2 linked regions of the Schizosaccharomyces pombe genome follow. The protein of the gene in region 1 interacts with the protein of each later gene in a pairwise test. Each region holds a gene or a part of one and is shown on either strand. Other genes may lie near its edges. The genes, in order: pxd1 and dna2.

Evidence for each region.
Region 2: the proteins of pxd1 (region 1) and dna2 interact in a two-hybrid assay, tested with the Schizosaccharomyces pombe proteins (one study listed by BioGRID).

Annotation. Positions count from the first base shown.
Region 1 is NC_003421.2:1,283,921-1,288,097, forward strand, and holds pxd1 (protein Pdx1), read left to right. Parts: upstream 1-2,245; 5' UTR 2,246-2,429; coding exon 2,430-3,485; 3' UTR 3,486-3,611; downstream 3,612-4,177. Other genes in the region: rpm1 (3' ssRNA-specific 3'-to-5' exonuclease), read left to right, coding at 1-2,115.
Region 2 is NC_003423.3:3,591,633-3,598,818, reverse strand, and holds dna2 (DNA replication endonuclease-helicase Dna2), read left to right. Parts: upstream 1-1,862; 5' UTR 1,863-2,126; coding exon 2,127-2,484; exon of another isoform or gene 2,485-2,529; coding exon 2,530-5,323; intron 5,324-5,371; coding exon 5,372-6,086; exon of another isoform or gene 6,087-6,108; intron 6,109-6,133; coding exon 6,134-6,460; 3' UTR 6,461-6,528; downstream 6,529-7,186. Other genes in the region: cell wall alpha-1,3-glucan synthase Mok13, read right to left, coding at 1-851, 892-1,248; kae1 (EKC/KEOPS complex N(6)-L-threonylcarbamoyladenine synthase subunit), read right to left, coding at 6,573-7,032, 7,073-7,186. UniProt on the Schizosaccharomyces pombe protein: Key enzyme involved in DNA replication and DNA repair.

The sequences.
Region 1 (4,177 bases):
CAAAGAGCACAAGATTTAAGTCGAAGTCACCGAAATGAATTTTTGCGAATATTGACAGAATTCAATATTCCAAATAAACTTGACAATTCAGCTTCTTTTTCAGACCTTTTGAAATTTGTGTACAAAACTTCGAAGCCTAGCCCATATGCTAAAATCTCATTGTTACACTTTTTGCTTACAGAAAGCAAACATTTTTTAATAAGCGATCACATATTTTCCGAAATTCAAAAAGTCTATTTCCTTCCCTCTTCACAAAATGATTCTTTTGACGACGTTGTTGCATGCCTGCGTCAGAAATCAACACCATATCTTTCGTTTATAAAGAAAGCTCGTCATTTAATTCAAGTTTCCCGAGATAAATATAAGTTACCTATAAGCACCGAAGAAATAAAACCCGTAGTTTATTCACAGGTCACTTGGACTGAATTTGAAAAAAAACTATTGCGGTATCTTGTTCAGGAAATGATTGCAAAAAGTATTCAAAGTTTACCAAATACACACTTGTGTCAGGTTTACAAAGAAGTTGGCCTTCAAACTCACGAGAGGGGATTAACTAGTGATCAGTTTGCTAAATTCTTAACGGATATTGGCGTGTGGGCTTCATGGCAGCCCCCGAGGTTGTTTCAACAGGAATACAGCATTGCTGGCCTTGGTACTAATCCTCAGTTAGATGCTGTGTATGAACGTGAGTGTAATCACTTTAAAAAGTTTGTAAAAAATGAATTAAAAGATTCACTTGAATCGCAACGCGTCGATTTAAGGCATCTTAAAGCGTTCGCCTTTGATAGTTCTTCTACGAAAGAGATAGATGATGCGATTTCGGTTGAAGAATTAGGGATGTCTAATTCCTGGCTTCATATCCATGTTGCTAATCCTACGAGTACAGTTGACATTCGCAGTCCTTTAGGCACGTTTGCTGAAAGGAACTTTCAAACTATTTATCATCCCAACAAAATTGTGTATATGCTACCTCTCAATATCACTCAGAAATATTGGAGTTTAGATTCATCTTCTACAGCTCAAAGAGCATTAACTTTTAGTGCTAAAATTTCAAAAAATGGCGATATACTTGATTACAAGGTTCGGCCTAGCTTCATTTCCTCAGTTATCAAATACACACCCCAACAACTGGATAAAGCTTTGCATAGTAATCGATCAATTGCGAAAGACATCGTTTCTGGACCAGTGGATGAGGAAACAAAAGGAGTATCAAATGATCACATGAAAGATATATTAAGAATATATGAACTTTCGAAACAAGCCTGTTTTTCTAGGTTACAAAAGTTTGCGTTTGTTATTGCACAACCCACTCCGACAGTTGAATTGCTGCCTAATAATGTCCCTTATAATCTTGGTGATCTGAATCATCCAGTATACTGGTCTTCCTTCCCTACAATTAGTTTGAACGTTAGTGAAGGGTATAGCTTGGCAGAATCAGTAATATCAGAGTGCATGATATTGGCTGGCCGGGTTTCATCATTATTTTTTCAAGAACATAAATTACCTGGGATTTTTAGGGGCCAGCCTTATCCAATTATGGATGGTGTACGAAGAAAAGCGTTTGAAACTTTGTTAAGTAACAGGTCATCTTGGGGACTCGTTGAAACTAAGTATTCACTTTCTGTAATGCCTTTATTTGAAAGTTCACATTTAGCCTCCACACCTGTTTCCCACTTTTCTTTGGGGCTAAAGGATGGCTATATTCAGTCTACCTCTCCTTTACGCCGGTTTACCGACTTCTTCACTCATCATCAGATTCAGTCGGTATTATTAAAGACTCCAAAAAATACTATACCTGATGGTATTCTTCGTGGAAAACTAAATTTGTACAACCAAAAAGAAAAATCAATTAAAACTATAGGAAGATACATTAATCGTTTCTGGGCCTTAAAATATATAGAGAGACTTCCAAAGGTACAAAAAAATATTTATCATGGATATTTAATGGTTTCAGAACTTTCAACACCTCAGGTCATGTTGGAAGAATTGGGTGTTAAAGCGCATATTGATATTCTCCCGGACGAAGCATTCCGGTTAGCAAATACTCGCCAGGCATTTACAATTAAGGATGTCTTTCCGGAGTCTAATATCCTATTAGTTGCTTTAGCGACCTAACAAACTTATTAAAACTATTTTTATGGATATAATTTTACTTAATTAAATACTCAATCCTGCATTTTATCAATTTACCGAGACTTAACGATATAAATAAATTATGTTTTGGGATTTGATAGTAACCTGTTTCGCCAAAACTCATCTCAAAAACCAACAGGTAGTTTTACTATGAAGTCTCTTTGTTAACCTTGACTCTTGTGATTAAAATATATTTTCTTTTTCTATTTTTTGTAAGACAAGAAGCAAATGTCTTTGGATGCTTATAAATCCATCGACGAAGTGTGCTGCGTTGTTTAAAATCTAAGTTAAGAAAAATGATTGAATCTAAAGGTGAAACAGCACCCTCTTTAAATTTAAACGACGTTAATGTTGAAGAAAATGATGCTGCGCAAAGTTTTGCAGAGAAGGTTCAGCGGTTTCGATACCAGATGAAAGTCCATGCAGCACCGCGACAGAAAACGCTGCATTCTTTCCTGAAAAAGGATAATGCTAATATTCATGACTTTACTAAAGTTGAGAAACCACACATTCGTTCTTCTAAATCGAAGGTTTCTTATAACAGTATTACATCAAGAGTTACCAAATATTTTGAAGAAAAAAATAATTCCGTTGATCAATTGCATTCAGAAAGCTTGACCCCATTAAGCTTTGGCCATACCATTCCCAAGAAAAAGCCGTTACTTATGACGGCTTCTGTTTCAGAAGATTCTAGAGTTCGTGTTAGTAAGAGACAATTTAAGTCCAAAGTTGTTCATCCAGAAATTGCTATTTCTATTGCTAAAAGGCATAAGCCAAAGTTTCCTCTGTCTGATGAACTCATGAATGTCGAACCTGGGTTCCACCACAGCAATATCGGTTGTCAAATTACGCCTTACTTATGGATATCATCATTTAGAACTAATGTCTATTACCTAATTGGAAATGAGGGTGACTTATTGTCCCAACAAGTACCTTCGATAAGTGGGGAGTTAAACATGTTGAGAGGAGTATGCACCCGTATCGATGATGATAATCGCTATGATATTGAACAAGCTGGTTCTTGTTTTGGTATGTCGGTATTTCCAACCTCTGATTCTGGAGAAGAGTCTTTTACCACCCTTGAGTCCGATCCGATAGTTAATTGCGAACACGATGAAAAGAAAGTTGCTGATAATCTCCTGGTTCCTCAAGTAATGTGTTCTTCTAATATTTCAACGTTCTTTCGAAGCCCTGGTGGAAAAAAGTTGTATCATTATTTATGGAAAAATTCAAATGCCCTACGTATTTCCTCAAACGACCTTCTCGAAATACTTTTAAAGCACGGTGTTTATGTATCTTTGGACACTCTGCACTCGTGGCTTCAGGAAAGAAACGTAAATTTTGAAAAGTGAAATATTTATGTTAGACTAAGTATAGCAAACTTTTGGCGAGCTGGTCCCGTAATGATGATTTAATGTACGTTATATATCTAACAAGTCAAGAATATTATTTCAATAATTTTAAATGTATATATTTATGTGATAAGTTAGAACTAAAAATAACGAGTAGATAGCTTGTCTTAATTTTGAAGGACCAAAGCAGAAGGGACTTTATGACTCGAGTTTTAAACGTCTTTGAGAACGTTACTGAGTTCTTCTTGTCTTATTTGTTTTTTTTTATATCTCAATAGCGCTGTATGGTTTATAATATATGCATATAAAGCGCTAATGTTAGGACCTTTTCTTGAGCAGATTTGTCTTTGGAAAATAACGAAATAGTATATTATTATGTTATTTATTTAACGAGCCGGAAATTTTTCATAAAATTTCACTAACGTGCTGCGTAGTTAATCTTTATTATCTAATACTAGGACAAGGAACGCGAGAGCATGTGTTTGTCATTAACTACACACACGAGAAATAGCAATTTATGTGTTTCGCGTCTCTGGCCTACTTATATCTTACAAAGCATTCATTTTTTGAAACCTTCTTTTCTTTCTAAATAACTGCATTTGTAATTGCTCAAATTACCAACCCTGAGCAGTTAAAGTCTTTTTCAAATTTCGTTTCATAGAGAATCAAAAGAATTCAAGGTTGGATCTATT
Region 2 (7,186 bases), on another chromosome or scaffold:
GTCATGGCACGGTAGAGTGAATAGTGAAAAGCAGAAGCATCTAGGGCATTCGCTTTAGGTTCCCTCAGAAAGTAGTTTTCTTTAAGGGATGATGAATTAAGTGAAGTAAGTATCGACGGAGGACGTTGATCTGGTTGACGACCACGACCGTAATAAATTGAGCCATAACTTGAAGAACCAGTTACTTCACCAGGTATAAAAAAATTCTTTTTATTAAACGTTGCTGCACACCCCCTCACAGAATGAGCCCATGAAGCAAGAAAATCAACTGTAATTTGAGTAGCTTTATCAATACGAAAACCATCCACATCTAACATGGCAATGATCATACATGCGAAGTGTTTTAACTTTTCTGAAACCGATGGCCTCCATTCTCTAAGTCTATCTTGGACAGAAGCAAACTTTGAAAGCTGACGTTCCCAATCAGGATGAGTACCAAAGGCTTCTGTATCGCCATACTGATCGAAATCTGAATCATAACAACCAACATAATCAATCACAACAGGCGCGCCATCTTCACCCCAAAATCTGGGAAGCTCACACTTTGGGTCATATTTATTTGTGAAATTCCAGTCTGGATAAATGACGTTGCTTTTCCACACCGCCTCATGTTCAAATAAAGAAAATGGAGTAGTACTGTTCAGATACTTCCGAAACCCTATAAGATCTCCCAACGTAGAAATTGTAAGGTCCAGAACTAAATAAAACCCTCTACGATGGATTTCTTCTATCGTGTCACGCCATTGTGCAATTGTTCCAGAATGGTGATCGAGGATGGTGTAGTCCAGTGGTGAGTACTGATCAGCACCCCATGGCTGATTTAAAAATGGTGTACCGGCGATGTAGATAACCTTATTCGTTAACGAGCATAAAAGCATAACTCTATCTTACCTTTATTCCCATAATCTCCAAATAATCTAGTGAGTCTTTCAGGCCTATTATATCCCCTCCGTTTCGAAAACCAGTTTCATAAATATCATACTCATAAATAGTATTGTTAGCTTCATTATTTCTAGGATCACCATCTTTCCATTTATCCAAAATAACTGTGTAAAATGGCACTTGCCAATCATCTGGACTGGGATGGTATTGATGGTTTTCCCATTTTCCCCAATAATCTAGAGGATCGGTAGCTGATTGATTTTGGTTTAAATTCCATAAAGATTCTCTTTCATCATATTTAGCAGTAAAGACCAACCTTGGTATACTTAATATCAAATTCAAGACGAGAATATTCTTATTTCGCATCGTTTATGGTATTTCCTCAATTGACGTGAAGAAGCTGCCCTGTTCAAAATAGTTTTATTAAAATTAATGCGATCGTTAATGCTATTATATATGAATTTATCAAGATTTTTCCCGATTCAAATGATGGTTGCTTCTAAATACGAGAAGAGTACAATAACCAATAAGTCAACTTTTTGGAATGTAAACAAACAAACGAACCTAAAAAATTTATATTAATTTTTGCTTACACATGCATTTCTATTTTAAAAATAAATTTTAAAAAAATTAAGAAGGAATTTTATTTTATAATTAAATCGCAGTTTGCGCTTTTGTATGCAAACGGTCATTCAGTTAATAAGCTTATACTTAAGAAGAGTTGAAGCGAATTTCGATACAGATAATATTTATTAATTATGTATTAAGGAAAATCAATAATTTTGCTTTCATCGGACTTGGTTTTAGTTCAATTTACCTGTGAACGACTTCACAAGGTTCATTGTAAAGATTACTGGCACATATTCATGTGTAATTTTATTTAAAATCAATCGAGAACATGACTGCGGAAAACCTAAGGAAATAAATTAACTAGCATTGTTGGCGTTAGGGAACCGAGTATCTATAAAACTGAAACCTCCGACAACCATACTCCAAATATCTATTTTACGAGCATTGCCTATTATTTTGAGAATAAGCGCAGTCGTTAAGGCTTTATTTTAATTTATTTCTATTTATTTTTTCTTTGCATTTACATCGTTGATCATCATTCTTTTTCACGTGTTTTAGTCGTTCTTTTCAAAGCTCATTACCTGGTTGAATTTTAGCCTGGTTATTTGAGTATAATTATAACAAACTTTTTTATTTTTTAATGTTTATTGCCTTCCTTTTTTTGTAAATTAATAATGTTCAACGACCAGTCGAAAACAACTTCATCTGTGAAAGGTATATGTGCCACTACTGACAACAATCATGGTAATTTAAAAAAAACTAATTCAACTCCTTTCAGGAAAAACTATTTGCTAAATGGGAGAACTAAATTGAAGCTGGAAAATTTTGCGTACAATGCATCTACAGAAATTAGTTCACCTAAAATCTCTGAAAAAAAGCATTCTTCATTACCAATTAAACGAAAGAATACTTTTAATGAATCCTCAACATCTTTTTCCCCATTTACTAAAGCTCATAAAGAAATTACTGACGATTTAAAGCCTGACAAATCTTTCACGCGGAAATCTGACTTGAATAGCCAAGACATGCCAGGTATGATTTTTCTTGTATTCAGACGTGTATTTTAACTTTTAGAAGTATGTTTTCAAGAAACTTCGAAGGATTTGTGTCGTAGCTCTTCTACTCAACATTTGCTGGATCATCAAACGACGGACTCAACGATTATAGATATGAAACCAGTGTCAACGAACTCAAAATCTGATGTGTTTACATTATATACGGATGAAACTGTCCTATTACGACGATGTGCTTCAGATAATAAGCCACTGATAAACAATAATTTGTCGAGTTCAAATGTTTCGGAAAACCAGAGTAGAAGCTTCGGATCGTATGATGAAGTAAAAAACCAAGGAAATAACCTGCATAAAGTCCCTAGCTTGGTGTCTATAATTCGTAATGCAAGATCATCTGAGCAATCAAGAATTGCTGCAAATTCCAGTTGTCTTCTCAAAGGATCAGATACCGAAATTGACGAGGATGATTTTGCCTTAGAAGCTGAAGATCTGGCAGCATTAGATTCCCTTGAACGCCAATACTCACAATTACCTAATTCTACAGTAACTGCTTCTGCAAAGGACATAGAAAAGACAGCTAAGGTCAACCATGTGGGAGGTGATTTGCAATCTTATTGTTCAGCAACAAAAGCATCTGATGCTACAATAAATGAAGAACCTGTGAACCTTGCTCTTGATAAAGCTTGTAATTCATTGCCGGATATCAATAGCGACTTTATCGATGATTGGGATGATTCGTGTGATGGATGCACTCCTGGTGAATTGTGCGAGTTTTCCTCCGAATACACAGTATTAGAAGTTCACGAAGACTTCATTTTTCATGAAGGGAATCACTTTCGACAATTAAAGTTGATTTTGGAAGCAAATGATATACTGCATCAGTTATTTTTACGCGGTGATTGGACTGAGACTAGTATTTTTGTAGGGGATTCTATCCGTGTTGAAGCTACATTTGACAAAGATAATACCGCTATCGTTGACAACGATAAAGGACTTATTATCATACATCCGAAAATTTTAATGTCTGCTACGGCAGTGGCCAGCTCTTTTCCTTGTTTGAGGAAAGCCGTAATATCTGACAGGGTTGGCATTTATGGACCTCCTACAAAAGCTATGGTAACTGGAAACATTTTACATGATTTTTTTCAACACGCATTATACAGAGGTATTGATGCCCTTGAAAATGTTGATATCAACCTTGAAACATCAATAAAAACATACATCTCTGATATCTATTTTGCTGATTTGTCGCTCGATGAAATTCGAGAGGAACTTGATGCGAGGCTTCCCCTTCTTAAATCTATTGTTGAAAGATATTTAATAAGTAAAAAAAATGACAACAACAATGAAAGTATTCACATTTCAAGGCTTCTCGATATTGAGGAATCCATATGGTCACCCAGATTTGGATTAAAAGGTAATATCGATGCTACAGTTGAGGTGGTTTTAACTGAAAAACCTGAGTCTTCGTCAACCCTCACACTTCCGTTAGAGCTTAAAACTGGCCGATATGTCGACAATATTAGCCATTTTGCTCAAAGTTTGCTTTATACATTACTCATTTCAGATCGTTATGGTATCAATACTAATCAGGCATTATTATGCTATTTGGAAAATAGTACTATCAAGAATTTGGTTGCAAGTAACTCCCAACTTCGAGGGTTGATCATGACAAGAAATTCTCTTGCACAGCATAACTTTAGGCGCAGCCTTCCTGAAATGATTTCGAACCGAAAAATTTGCGATCACTGCAGTTTAGTTTCTGAATGTTTGTTCTTTCAAAAGATGAGTGATAAAGGAGTAGCTAATAGTAACGGCTTGACTGAGTCATGGAATGAATGGATGCGCGAAGTAAAAGATGAGGATCTTGAATTTTATAAGAAGTGGGAGAAGTTATTAAATCAAGAGGAACGACTCTTACTACTAAAAAGAGGCGATGTGTTGACTTTTGATACAGAAGAGCTAGAAGCTTATGGAAAAACTCTGTATCCTTTATACATTACTAAAGAGGATATCGTTTGTTTAGAAATTGATGACAGGGTTTTTCATTACAAATTCGCTTTTTTAAATGACAATGGTTATCCTCGAAATTTCTTGCACTCAGGCTTCAGCGTTGGTGAACGAGTATTTATTTCTGATGAACATGGACACTGGTCACTAGCTAAAGGACACATAGTCCATATTCAAGATTCATGTATTGAAGTACGAACTCGTCATCGACTTCATATTCCATGGCTAAAGATGCCTAACTTTGATTTCAAAAAAAACCAGGTATTTTTTGGTAACTATGAAGATTCCAAATTGTCATTTATCGGAAGTAACCATACGAGGTACAGAATTGATAAGGACGAATTTTCGAGCGGAATTGCATCAATAAGAGGTACCTTGATGTCTTCTGTATTACCAGATGCTCCCTTAATTATAAGGGACATGATTATCCGTTTGAAGCCTCCAAAATTTTGTAATAGTGCATTAATCGATCCTGAATTTTTGAAATGTTTAAACGAAGATCAAATTACAGCTTTAAAGAAATGCCACGCTGCAGAACATTATAGTTTGATACTCGGAATGCCTGGAACGGGGAAAACCACTACAATTTCTAGCTTAATCAGATCATTGCTTGCCAAAAAGAAGAAAATACTTCTTACTTCTTTTACGCATTTAGCAGTTGATAACATTTTAATTAAACTGAAGGGTTGTGATAGCACAATCGTCCGCTTAGGATCTCCTCATAAAATCCATCCCCTAGTAAAAGAATTTTGTTTGACTGAAGGAACGACGTTTGACGACTTAGCGTCATTAAAACATTTTTACGAAGACCCCCAAATAGTTGCATGCTCTTCTCTAGGGGTATATCAGTAAGTAATTGAAAGCGACGGCAATGAACAAACTACTAACAACATTAGTTCCATTTTCAATAAAAGAAAATTCGATTATTGTATAATTGATGAGGCATCCCAAATACCTCTACCAATTTGCTTAGGCCCTTTGCAGCTTGCTGAAAAATTTGTTTTAGTTGGTGATCATTATCAACTTCCTCCTTTAGTAAAAAATTCAAGAACATCTAAGGATGGTTTGTCGCTCAGTCTATTTAAATTACTATCAGAAAAGCATCCTGAAGCCGTTACCACTTTAAGACTACAATATCGTATGAATGAAGACATTAATTCATTATCTAGTGAACTTATTTATGGCGGCAATTTGGTGTGTGGGTCCAAGACGATATCCCAAAAAAAATTAATTTTGCCAAAAGCTCATCTAAGTGATGGTTTACCCGATTCGTCGTCTAGCCTACATTGGGTCAACAAGTTAATCAATCCTAGTCATTCAGTCATATTTTTTAATACCGATGATATTCTGGGAGTTGAATCAAAAACTAATAATATTCTAGAAAATCATACTGAAGCTTTTTTGATAGAACAAGCAGTTTCCTCCTTCTTGGAACGAGGCGTTAAGCAAAGTTCTATCGGGATAATTTCAATTTACAAAAGTCAGGTGGAGTTGCTTTCTAAGAATCTTAAATCATTCACTGAAATAGAAATTAACACTGTCGATCGTTATCAAGGAAGAGACAAGGACATCATTTTAATATCTTTTGTGAGATCCAACAGTAAAAACTTAGTGAGTATTGAACCAATTATTTACACAACTGCTAACCATTTATTTAGGTTGGAGAATTGCTACGCGATTGGCATCGTTTGAACGTTGCTTTAAGCAGGGCGAAAGTGAAATGTATTATGTTTGGCTCGTTATCTACTCTTTCGTCTTCAAATATAGTTTCTCATTTATTGAAATTATTAGAAAAAAACAAATGGATTTTCACGTTAAATGAGAATGATATAGCAACGAAATTTGACGAGAATAGCTCTCCAATTAAGGATTGTTCTCAGGTTGCAACGACAAATAATGCTAAAGTTATTATTAGAAAGAACCAAAGGTTTTTTAATAGTGACAATTTATGTGAAAAAGCTATTTTACCTCAACTGGAATTTTGATAATCTACTTCAAAAAACTCAATATTTTACTGGATACGATCTTCATAATGAAGAATGTATATATAAATGCCTAAAATAAAATTCATCTGATCCTTGTTCATGAATATAAGTATTAATCCCTCCATGATATATAAACATCGTCAGTACGATATCTTTGAGTAATCGTCGATTCTGCGACGGCACATCGGTCCCCGGTTTTATAAGCCAACAACCCTGCTTGGGCTATCATTATACCATTATCAATACAGAAACGTTCATCTGTAGAAAAAACATCAGCGCCTCTATCCGAACTCATTTCAGCCATCATTTGTTGGAGACGTTCATTGCATCCAACACCTCCAACAATTAAAACAGAATCAGCTCTGATATGTGCCATCGCGCGTTCTGTAATTTCAACTAGCATTGCAAAGCCAGTTTCCTGTAAAGAGTAACAAAGATCTTGCTTTGTAACAGAACTCGGATTTTTTGGGTCTAATAGCTCTGTAGCTGCCGCTTCAACCCCTGACAACAATCCGGAAAATGAACAATCCATACCTTTAACAGTATAGGGTAACTCTATAAATCTTTTGCCTCTAGGAAAAAATTAGTATAAAACATCAAAGTGAGTCTTACTTTTTTGCTTCTTGCATAATATTGTAACCAGGTGAAGGTGCATTGGACAAACCAATGATTCTGGCAAATCGATCCAAACAATTGCCTATAGCAATATCAAGCGTTTCACCAAAA